Linked DNA regions of Arabidopsis thaliana. The protein of the gene in region 1 purifies or fractionates together with the protein of each later gene. This does not show direct contact. Each region holds a gene or a part of one and is shown in the gene's direction. Other genes may lie near its edges.

Region 1 (5,439 bases):
AATCAAATATTTTGAGATAATTTATTTTACATATTAAAAAAATTGCATGTTATTTGATCATAGATTTTACAAAGTCATATTAAATATGATGTTAATGGTTAGTATTTGTAAATATCTCTTAAACCCTAGTTATTAAACTGATGAATTTTCTTTACATCTATTTTTATTAGAAACATTTTAGACAATGTTTATTTATGATTTTGATGTGGTTGCATACTTGCATGCACATGGAAAATTATCCTTTTGACAAAAACTAGTTGGCTTTCTTCTTTTTGTTCAATCTTTTATCCTCCTCTACACATTGTCTCATATTTTATTGCAATGGTAACCTCAACTCTTTTTACAGTTAAACCTCCATAAATTAATACTCGATAAATTAGTAACCTCTATAAATTAATAAATTCACCAGATCCCAAGTTAGGACCAATGTAAAAAGTGTAACACATCGATAAATTAATAAGATAATAACTTTTTTGAAAGTCCTATGTAAATATATAGTCTCATCAATATCATAAATTAATAATTGCATAAATGTATCAACTATATATATACATTATATGTAAGAAATGTTTTTGATTTTTTTTTACTTAAATTTGTAGTTATTCTTATTTGAAATTTAGTTCTAATGTGTTACTGTATCAAAAAAAATTTGGTATTGTTTTCTAGACATGATATAATTTTGTACTTGTAATTGATTTTAGAAAGATATTTTCTATAATGAAAAAAATCTTATAAAACTTTTTAAAAAGTTACCAAATTAGGAAAATTTCTCTATAATTAAAAAATATTAATTTATCGATAAATTAAAACCTTTTTAAATTAATAAAATTTTGCAGTCCCAACATTATTAATTTATAAAGGTTTTACTGTACTTCATTTTCTAACCTCAGTATGTTAAAAGTCATGTATGTGTACTAAGAATCAAACCTGGCACGCAAACTTTTGCTAATTTTGTCACATACAGTTAACATTTAGCATTGTGCGAGTAGCTCCACCACATTATTATCAATCGTTTGGTTCTTCAACATGTCTTATATATGGATCAATAATAGTTTAATATCATATCAGTAATCTTTGTTCTCTTGTCTTGCATGTAGAACATGTACATATTGCTTCGTCGGCAGCGAATGAAGCCTAAAATTAAAATTTGGTTTTGTCCATTGATGATATGATGGCTCGTTCCACATGAGAGAATGGTTGAGAAAACTGAAAATAATGAAGAGGATGAGAAATTATAATGATCAGACAAGTGAAGTGTTTCATTTTATAGCTTAGTGTAGAAAACGATTGCTTGTGATTGTGAATATATAGTTTTAGATGAGTTGTTTTTATAGTAACTTTGAGGGAACAATAAACTATGATATAGTTATCATTTTTATTTTAAAACAAGTAAATTCATATGAATTTCTGATATATTCATATTTTCACTATGAATTTAAACACTATAATCTTATTTCATATTTTAGCATATGATATTTTGCATGATGCTATCTTAGCCTCGACTATCTTTACTTCATCTTCTAAACTATATATTTATCAAATCTTACGTATGCATTGCATCACTTGTTTTTACATTTTGTGTAAAGAAAAAGTTGCATTAATTAGTTTTTAGCGGTTTAGTACAATATGGTTAATTTGATAACCACATACTTGATACCTGTTGTATCTAGAGTTGTATATAACAAAATTAGAATTATATTCTATTGGCTAAGCCAATTTCTCTCCACCAATCAGTTTACATCGGTTATTTGGAACATTATTATCGATAAGCAATGTCATTATCCAAAATTTTGGAATGTTATCGTATGAAGAAGAGTGTAGAAGTATCTTGATCACATATGAATGGCTTACCTCAATCCTCAAAAAAAAAAAAAAAAACAATGATTTTCCAAAGCATATGTGGTAATAAATAATGTTATAATCTTCACTTGAAAAAAAAAACAAATCCATTGGCACAGATTAGCCATTTGACGACAACCTCATAAACATATTCCACGTGGACCAATCAAAATAGAATCCTCCTAATCATCTTCCTCGTGGCAACTTGGCCAATCCGCATCGTGTGGCGATCAGAGAGTTAAGCCTTGAAGACGAAGAGATAACGAATTGGTTGTTGATCACTCGCTTTATAAATCTCTCAGTTTCTTGCTCACACCAACATCTCTCTAAGCTTCTTCTTCTACCAATCTAATTCCTCTCTTCAGCTTCTTGTGTTGTGACGCATACTCGTCGCAGTCTTGAGATATGGCCGCCGCAGTTTCCACCGTCGGTGCCATCAACAGAGCTCCGGTACACTTCAATCTCCATTAGTGGTTTAATGTTACTTTTAACATAATCTTAACGCTTTGTGCTTATCCACCACTTGAATAGCTTTGGTTTTTACAAATATAGCTCAAGAATTTGATCGTTTGAATCACTTTGAGATTCTCTGACAGAACAGAAGAATCAGGACTTTAACTAGGAAATCTAAAGATACTTTGATGCTTCTTTTATTCTCTACTTGTGAACTATAGATTTAGTAGATGTGTTTAAATCGATGTATAGTAATTGAACTGAAACTGTAGAGACTACTACTACTCTTTAGTCTTCAGGACTAGTCTATACCTTGAGCTATGTGAACCAAATTAAAGTTTATTCCCCGGTTTGGTTCGGTTCAGTTCCTGATTGAGCGCCTTTTATCCTTAGGAATAGTCTCTAAACCGGTTCTTGAACCATATAAACCAAACTTGAATTCATGATTGGTGATTGAACTGTTTTTGTGTGTGTGTTGCAGTTGAGCTTGAACGGGTCAGGATCAGGAGCTGTATCAGCCCCAGCTTCAACCTTCTTGGGAAAGAAAGTTGTAACTGTGTCGAGATTCGCACAGAGCAACAAGAAGAGCAACGGATCATTCAAGGTGTTGGCTGTGAAAGAAGACAAACAAACCGATGGAGACAGATGGAGAGGTCTTGCCTACGACACTTCTGATGATCAACAAGACATCACCAGAGGCAAGGGTATGGTTGACTCTGTCTTCCAAGCTCCTATGGGAACCGGAACTCACCACGCTGTCCTTAGCTCATACGAATACGTTAGCCAAGGCCTTAGGCAGTAAGTTCTCATCTCTCTAGATCTCTCATTAGTTCCATAAAGATTTTGGAGTCTTTGGTTTTAAAAATTGTCTTTACTTCTTGAAATATAGGTACAACTTGGACAACATGATGGATGGGTTTTACATTGCTCCTGCTTTCATGGACAAGCTTGTTGTTCACATCACCAAGAACTTCTTGACTCTGCCTAACATCAAGGTATAATTTAAAGTTTTTCTTTTGAGTATTTTTTGGTGCAATCTTGACTTATTACACAACTTTATTGATCTTTAAATGCCTGTTTTTTTTGTCTCATAGGTTCCACTTATTTTGGGTATATGGGGAGGCAAAGGTCAAGGTAAATCCTTCCAGTGTGAGCTTGTCATGGCCAAGATGGGTATCAAGTGAGTCCATTTCCCAAATCTCCGATCTTGACCCGGTTTCTGTTTAGCTCTCTTTCGACAAGAATCTAAAAAAGTTTGAATCTTTTTGCAGCCCAATCATGATGAGTGCTGGAGAGCTTGAGAGTGGAAACGCAGGAGAACCCGCAAAGCTTATCCGTCAGAGGTACCGTGAGGCAGCTGACTTGATCAAGAAGGGAAAGATGTGTTGTCTCTTCATCAACGATCTTGACGCTGGTGCGGGTCGTATGGGTGGTACTACTCAGTACACTGTCAACAACCAGATGGTTAACGCAACACTCATGAACATTGCTGATAACCCAACCAACGTCCAGCTCCCAGGAATGTACAACAAGGAAGAGAACGCACGTGTCCCCATCATTTGCACTGGTAACGATTTCTCCACCCTATACGCTCCTCTCATCCGTGATGGACGTATGGAGAAGTTCTACTGGGCCCCGACCCGTGAAGACCGTATCGGTGTCTGCAAGGGTATCTTCAGAACTGACAAGATCAAGGACGAAGACATTGTCACACTTGTTGATCAGTTCCCTGGTCAATCTATCGGTAAGAAAGATTCTTACTACCCTGAAAATGTTCTATATAGGACCTCGTGCAGAATCTGATATGTGTTTTTGGTGTGGACAGATTTCTTCGGTGCTTTGAGGGCGAGAGTGTACGATGATGAAGTGAGGAAGTTCGTTGAGAGCCTTGGAGTTGAGAAGATCGGAAAGAGGCTGGTTAACTCAAGGGAAGGACCTCCCGTGTTCGAGCAACCCGAGATGACTTATGAGAAGCTTATGGAATACGGAAACATGCTTGTGATGGAACAAGAGAATGTCAAGAGAGTCCAACTTGCCGAGACCTACCTCAGCCAGGCTGCTTTGGGAGACGCAAACGCTGACGCCATCGGCCGCGGAACTTTCTACGGTAAAACAGAGGTTTGAAACTCGTTTGTTTTTTGGTTTAGTTGGCCACTGGGTATGAAAATGTAAAAGAGAAAGAGAAGAAAATGGAATTAGGTTTTCTGAAGTTAAACTTACTTGACTTGCAGGAAAAGGAGCCCAGCAAGTAAACCTGCCAGTTCCTGAAGGGTGTACTGATCCTGTGGCTGAAAACTTTGATCCAACGGCTAGAAGTGACGATGGAACCTGTGTCTACAACTTTTGAGCAATATTATCCTGCTTATTAATTTGCTGTTTTACTCCTATTGTCTCTTTTGGTTTATTTTTCTCCTTTGTGTAATTGTGGATTGGATCTTGTCCTCTTTTGTTCCCTTTTTTTTTTTTTATGATGTACAACACATTGGTAATTTAAAATTGCCTTGTCATAAACTACACTTCTTATTCCAATGTTGCACACTAGGTAAATGCTTAGACATATAAAGTATACAAAATCTGAGGCCAAATAGCACTAAGTAGAACAGAACTATAGGACAAAACTGAATCCGGAAAAAAACAATGTGTCGCATTCACATGTAAAGCAAGACCATTGGCAACGGAGCACTACACCATTGACTGGTACTCTTACAAAGATGAAATCTGATACATTGCTTCTCATATTGAATGATTGCAATCTCTAGACTATTAGCAGATGCACATAATTGTGTGAAAGTGTATATATATATTCAATTGTGATCACAATTCTCTTTATTTTATAATGGACCTTGAACATCCATCATCATACATACATAACTCAATGTAAAAAGAGGAAAACGAATCAATTTCCTCAGCTTTGTTATCTATGGTCACTAGAGCAACAAGCTATAAAATAAGGTATCAGGTTTTAGATGTAACGACCTTGATCGAGGAGAGGCTAACTATGGCAGGGCTTTTGAGTTGATCAAGCTGTTTAGTACCTAACCGAAGCAAATACTCGATGTACTGAAAATTCTTACGGTCGACCTCCTTAGAGTTGTGGCGGAACTCTGTTGACACAATCATCTCTATTCTCTTCCTGTCTTCTATTGG
Region 2 (6,385 bases), on another chromosome or scaffold:
GGCTCTAGGGCCCCTGTTTAGTTCATTCAAGCCATCAATGTTCTCATTTCCATAGAAGTAACTGTTACCCCTTCCCCGGCTTCTATATTTGTTGTCTGTATTGAGCCATCCTCTTTCATTTGTTCTTGAACCATATCCAGAAGAACCATAACCCATACCAGACCTCACCGTGCTACCATACTGACCATATGACTTGTTTGGAGACACTCTGTCGTAGTAACCCTGAGCTGCATAACCTGTCATGGATGCAGGCTGGTACATACTCTGCCAAGAATAGAATGAGGCTATCAGATACAGGGATTCAGATAGAGAAGAAGACTTATCATACAAAACTGACTTCCATATCATACCGTGTAATGCGAATTGGAGCTAGAGTTTTGATTCCTAGTCGCAGGTACATTGTTGTTAGCCTTAGAATATGAGGATGCAACTCCACTGCCAGAAACAGACCTCTGCACATCTGAGAAGTTAGAGCCATCGTGCCATGACACAGGAGTGTAAAACCCATCATAGCTATACCTGGGGTCCTGATAACCAGCAGCAAGACCACCTCCAAGAGCACTGTTTCCATACAGTGCACTCTGATTCAATGGTTTAACAGGAGCTGATCCATTCATTCCTTTAGGGATACCAGCAGATGCAGAGTTGGCTGCTTTGTTTGTAGAGAGCTTGCTCTGAGTAGAGGCAGGAACAGACGAAGCGAAAGGCCCACTACTGGCTGTGAGAGGAAAAGGATACTGGTACTGCTGAGCACCATACAACTGTCCATCACCACCAAGTTGTGGAGCAGGGCTTGTTGCTGGTGAGTAAGGAAAGGCAGCATACCCGTATCCCTGCGGATAAACAAGAGATGCATTCTCTCCGTAAGCTCCCTGGAGTGATTACCAAATGACTAAGTAGGGCAAAAGGTAAAAGAGAGGCTAAATAGTCTGGACACGAGTTGCTTATAAGAAAATATTAACGCACGTACTGATGTCATATCAACACTCTCGGAATTGGTATAACCTGTGTAGTCACTCCCATAACCTGAAAGATTATACAAACGGTTGTGTTATAGATATTACAATAATTCTAGACAGTAGAAGGCTGAAGATATATAAATGAAACTTAATTATCACCATAATAGTAGGGCTGCTGATACACATTAGGAACATAGAAAACAGAAGGATCCAAGGCATCACTGGGTAGCATAGGTGACAAAGATCGATCAAAAGAAGGAACTTGACCATTCGAATCCATAGCTCCATACTGGTAAACACCCGTCTGCAAAGATAATGATGCTATGAGAACTCTGCTTGGAGTAACAAAATGTGCAGAGACATTAAAAGATGTAACTTTACCTTCTTAGTAGGCTCAGGGATCTCCAAAGTCCTAGACTTTGAATCTAAAGACAGTTTCTTCAATACATCAGCAGCTTCTGAAAAAACAATGTAAGTGAAGGAAACAAATAGGTTTCTATCTTCAGCAAGACTAAAAAATTGATTTTTCTAATCAATTTATTCACTTTGCTAGCTACAGGAACAGTCAAATTCATCGAGCTAAAACAAACAGAACAAATGGAAATGACATCATTTCACTATATGAATCGAATTACGATGAAGCAACTAGATTCATGAACGTAGATCACAAAAGAAATGAAGGAGAAAAGAAACAAAGGCAAAGGATACGATCAGCAGGAGGAGCAACAGTAGACATGAGAACAGAGTTGGCAGCGAAGACTGATAATAGATCCTTGTCGGATATTGAACAATAAGAGTTTGAGACAAACACAAATATCAGAGCAAAAAAGAACTCAGAAGGAATCTAGGGTTTAAGAGATTGAATCGTAGCCGCAAGAGAAGAGAGAAGAAGAGGAAGAGGCAAAAGTGGTTTTGTTCGTTCACCTCGATTTGATTCAAATACCTCCAAGATCCCTTTTTTATATTTTTCTATTATTTTTGTTTACCTTTTTCTCCATCGTTTTTTTTTTAAAATACTTCCTTTATTCCAGCCACATTAATATTATACTAGTCACTACGAAATATCTCACAAAATAATACTATAAATATTATTTCCTCGAAAATTTCGCAATTAATCGGGAAAAAATCAATTTTTAAAATAAATATCACTGATTCCAATTCCATTGTTAGGAATTAAGGAGCAAGAATAAAGGCCCAAATAGGCCCAATATAAATCTGATCCAGGATCCGAAGAGTTGAATCCAACGGCCAAGATTAACTCAAAGCTTGAAAGAGGTAAGGGAACGTTAAAAGCACCTTCCAAGCGAGAGTAAGGAGATAAACCTACTTCCTTTCCTTGCTTCAGCTCCCCTTTTCTTATCCGGAAACCAAAAACTTCCGGTGATAAAACCTCCTTCGTCATCTCTCTACTTCTGTTAGTTTCTTAATCCTTACTCTTGGAATAGTTTATCCTCTGCATTTTTTAGTGCCACAGTTTATGTGTGTATGTTTTGTTTGGATAAGAATTTGTTGTAAGCTTTTGAAAACTTGTATTAGTTCATTACTTCCATGATTTTGGGTGTTTTGTAATAAAATTTATGGATTAGTGTTTCTTCAGATTGTCAATTGTGTTCTTATTGAGCTCTGCTTTCGAAGGTGTCGCCTTTCTTCTGGTTTGTTGTGAAAATTTATTACTTTAGCTTACTGGGTTGTTGTTTCTTTCTGTTATATTGATTGTGTTAACCGTATATAGATGAAAAGAAGAGTCTTTTTTATATCTTTGAAATCTTATCTAAGTGCTGAATTTTGTCTGTCTTTGAAGTGGATAAAATGGCGTCAACTTTCACTGCCACATCTTCTATTGGTTCAATGGTTGCTCCGAATGGTCACAAATCTGATAAGAAACTTATCAGCAAGTTGTCTTCAAGCTCATTTGGAAGGAGACAAAGTGTGTGTCCTAGACCCAGAAGATCCAGTTCTGCAATTGTGTGCGCAGCAAAGGAATTACATTTCAACAAAGATGGGACTACCATTAGGAGACTTCAAGTAAGTATCTTTTTTAAAAAAAGTTAATGGAAACTTCATTCCCAAACCGGAGCTAAAGGTTTACATTTTCTGTGGTTTCTAATTTTGTGTTGTACTAGGCTGGTGTCAACAAGCTCGCAGATCTTGTTGGTGTTACACTTGGACCCAAAGGACGAAATGTTGTTCTTGAGAGCAAGTATGGATCACCACGAATTGTTAATGATGGTGTGACTGTTGCAAGAGAGGTATGGAATTATTACCCCTCTGATAATGATTTTTGTTCTCATTCAACTGAGTCTTAGAGTTTCAAACTTTCTCCTGTAGGTTGAGTTGGAAGACCCGGTTGAGAACATTGGCGCTAAGCTTGTGAGGCAAGCGGCTGCCAAAACCAATGACTTGGCTGGTGACGGTACAACAACATCTGTTGTTCTTGCACAAGGTTTTATCGCTGAGGGTGTCAAGGTCTGTGTAACATTCTTCTTTCAGCTTTCTCTATGTGAAACTTCAAAAACTTTTGTACTAATTTTAAGATTATCTTATTCAGGTGGTAGCTGCTGGTGCAAACCCTGTTTTGATCACCAGAGGTATTGAGAAGACAGCAAAGGCTTTGGTTACCGAGCTCAAGAAAATGTCTAAGGAGGTTTCAAATTTATAGAACTCTCTTTCTTTTAATATGTTAAGAGTCTTTTTCAAAAGGTTCTGAATGTAAGTCATGTCGATGTAGGTTGAAGACAGTGAACTTGCAGATGTTGCAGCTGTTAGTGCGGGTAACAACGACGAAATTGGAAATATGATTGCTGAAGCAATGAGCAAAGTGGGCAGGAAAGGTGTGGTGACCCTTGAGGAGGGTAAAAGTGCCGAGAACAACCTCTACGTCGTAGAAGGAATGCAATTTGACCGTGGTTATATCTCTCCTTACTTTGTGACAGACAGCGAGAAAATGTCCGTCGAGTTCGACAATTGCAAGGTAGATGTTTCTTGAATCTGAGTAGAAGATGAATTTTGTTGGCAGACTATTTAGCCACTAAAGATATTTATATATGAGTATAACAACGATCTTTAATGTTTTGGTATGATTGCAGTTACTTCTCGTTGACAAGAAAATTACCAATGCAAGGGATCTTGTTGGTGTTTTGGAGGATGCAATTAGAGGCGGATACCCAATATTAATTATTGCTGAAGACATTGAACAAGAAGCTTTAGCGACTCTTGTTGTAAACAAGCTTAGAGGTACACTGAAGATAGCAGCTCTCAGAGCTCCAGGGTTTGGAGAGCGCAAGAGCCAATACCTTGATGATATTGCCATTCTAACTGGAGGTAAGTTCTGTCTGCATTGATGAGCCCTATGTTTACGCATATATTTGTAGTTTTTATCTTGTCCTAATTTTCTATCTTCGCTTGCAGCAACTGTGATCCGTGAGGAAGTTGGTCTTTCACTTGACAAAGCTGGAAAAGAGGTTCTTGGTAATGCTTCAAAGGTTGTCCTCACAAAGGAGACCTCGACCATAGTGGGTGATGGAAGCACACAGGATGCAGTGAAAAAGCGTGTTACACAGATTAAAAATCTTATTGAGGTATAGTAAAAGAGTATAGCATATATGGGACCTCTTTTACTTTTTGTGGATAGTGTAGTTACATTGCAATGGTAATTGGTTTGTGCAGCAAGCGGAGCAAGATTACGAGAAGGAGAAACTCAATGAGAGAATTGCAAAGCTCTCTGGTGGAGTTGCTGTGATTCAGGTAAACTAAAAACTATTTAAGTTTCCTTTGTCTGATTAAGATGTGTTTCAGAGATATTAAGTTAAGCTCGTTATGTATTGGTTAAAGGTTGGAGCACAAACTGAGACAGAACTCAAAGAGAAGAAGTTGAGAGTTGAAGATGCTCTTAATGCAACAAAGGTGATTTTGTATTTCTGAGGCTTGAGAAGCGTGTTATTTGCATACTCGTGAACTATAACTAATCAGGATTTTAATTCTTCAGGCCGCTGTCGAGGAAGGTATTGTTGTTGGTGGTGGTTGCACTCTGCTTCGTCTTGCTTCCAAGGTTGATGCCATTAAAGCCACGCTTGATAATGATGAAGAAAAGGTAAATCAATCAAGTCTTCAGATTTTAACTCATGAACCTTCGGTTTCTCTAACTTTGCTGATGATTCCCTTTAGGTTGGAGCGGATATAGTTAAAAGAGCACTAAGTTACCCCCTAAAACTAATCGCCAAGAATGCTGGTGTTAATGGAAGTGTAGTTAGCGAGAAGGTAATAACAACAGATAACATAATTCCCACTTTTTTATCTCTAGATTTCAAGTCAGATGCTTGAAGAGATGTCTCTATTCATTGGCAGGTGCTTTCCAACGATAACGTGAAATTCGGTTACAATGCTGCAACCGGCAAGTACGAGGATTTGATGGCTGCAGGAATCATCGATCCAACAAAGGTAAGTTTTCTGTGCATATACAGAAACTGTCTTTGCTAGCTAAATTGGTCATCAAAGATCCATGAACCTGAGTGGCTTTATCTTGATTTTAGGTTGTGAGATGTTGCTTGGAACACGCAGCTTCGGTTGCAAAGACTTTCTTGATGTCGGACTGCGTTGTTGTTGAGATCAAGGAACCTGAACCAGTTCCCGTCGGCAACCCAATGGACAACTCAGGTTTGTTCAGAATTTCAAATACTTGAGTCTTTGGTAAAGATCCCCCGCATTCAATATTCATGTTTCATTGCTGAATCTTGTTGGCCTCTCTTATTTCAGGATATGGATACTAAGAGGAGATAGGCTAATATTGAAACGGATTACTTTAGCTTGCGAGTGTAATGATTTTGAACAAGAGAATGTGTAATGTGAAACTGAAATTTTGAATTAATCATCATATGAATAAATCATGATTCCCTCAATGCTTCGAAATATCTCGAAATCGCCAAATATGAAACTTTTGATCCAAAGATTTGAAGATTTATTATCACTTCATATGAAATGGTATACGTAAACTGAATGAAATGGTTAAAAGAATTTCTTAAGAAAAAAAGAACACATTTATGATCGAATAAAATTCCTCACAAGTATGTATAGAGCCAAGAAGAGAAGAGAAGCTATGAACAGATCACATCAAAAGACACAAACTTTAGGTGAACTATTTCTTGTTAAAGCCAAACAAGGATTTGATGGCGTTAATGGCACTCTCATTGATGAAAGATTCGTCGAATTGCTTCAGAAGTGGATCGAAATCCTTCGACTTCCTGAGAGTTTCCAGATCTGGATCACTTCTGATTCTCTGCAAACAAAACAAATAACACAGCTTCAACAAACAAGTCCATCCTTCTCTCTGTCTCAATTGAAACATTACAACTCCTTGGACTTACCTTAAAATCTTCATATCCTGACTTCAATGCTTCTTCCAGAGCCGAGAGACCAGCTTGAACCTATCA

Evidence for each region.
Region 2: the proteins of RCA (region 1) and CPN60B purify together in Arabidopsis thaliana (co-purification; one study listed by BioGRID). This does not show direct contact.

What each region holds. Positions count from the first base shown.
Region 1 is NC_003071.7:16,570,151-16,575,589, reverse strand, and holds RCA (rubisco activase), read left to right. Parts: upstream 1-1,897; 5' UTR 1,898-2,244; coding exon 2,245-2,289; intron 2,290-2,773; coding exon 2,774-3,090; intron 3,091-3,181; coding exon 3,182-3,287; intron 3,288-3,386; coding exon 3,387-3,472; intron 3,473-3,563; coding exon 3,564-4,036; intron 4,037-4,117; coding exon 4,118-4,399; coding exon of another isoform or gene 4,400-4,416; exon of another isoform or gene 4,417-4,523; coding exon 4,524-4,639; 3' UTR 4,640-4,844; downstream 4,845-5,439. Other genes in the region: AT2G39725 (LYR family of Fe/S cluster biogenesis protein), read right to left, coding at 5,248-5,439. UniProt on the Arabidopsis thaliana protein: Activation of RuBisCO (ribulose-1,5-bisphosphate carboxylase/oxygenase; EC 4.1.1.39) involves the ATP-dependent carboxylation of the epsilon-amino group of lysine leading to a carbamate structure.
Region 2 is NC_003070.9:20,715,057-20,721,441, reverse strand, and holds CPN60B (chaperonin 60 beta), read left to right. Parts: upstream 1-2,180; 5' UTR 2,181-2,373; exon of another isoform or gene 2,374-2,760; 5' UTR 2,761-2,768; coding exon 2,769-2,984; intron 2,985-3,082; coding exon 3,083-3,208; intron 3,209-3,287; coding exon 3,288-3,425; intron 3,426-3,507; coding exon 3,508-3,603; intron 3,604-3,687; coding exon 3,688-3,930; intron 3,931-4,045; coding exon 4,046-4,280; intron 4,281-4,367; coding exon 4,368-4,537; intron 4,538-4,625; coding exon 4,626-4,703; intron 4,704-4,790; coding exon 4,791-4,862; intron 4,863-4,944; coding exon 4,945-5,049; intron 5,050-5,123; coding exon 5,124-5,216; intron 5,217-5,303; coding exon 5,304-5,396; intron 5,397-5,488; coding exon 5,489-5,612; intron 5,613-5,711; coding exon 5,712-5,725; 3' UTR 5,726-5,879; downstream 5,880-6,385. Other genes in the region: ECT4 (evolutionarily conserved C-terminal region 4), read right to left, coding at 1-264, 351-872, 971-1,026, 1,119-1,263, 1,341-1,417, 1,668-1,695; ZKT (protein containing PDZ domain, a K-box domain, and a TPR region), read right to left, coding at 6,091-6,231, 6,320-6,379. UniProt on the Arabidopsis thaliana protein: Binds RuBisCO small and large subunits and is implicated in the assembly of the enzyme oligomer. Involved in protein assisted folding. Required for proper plastid division.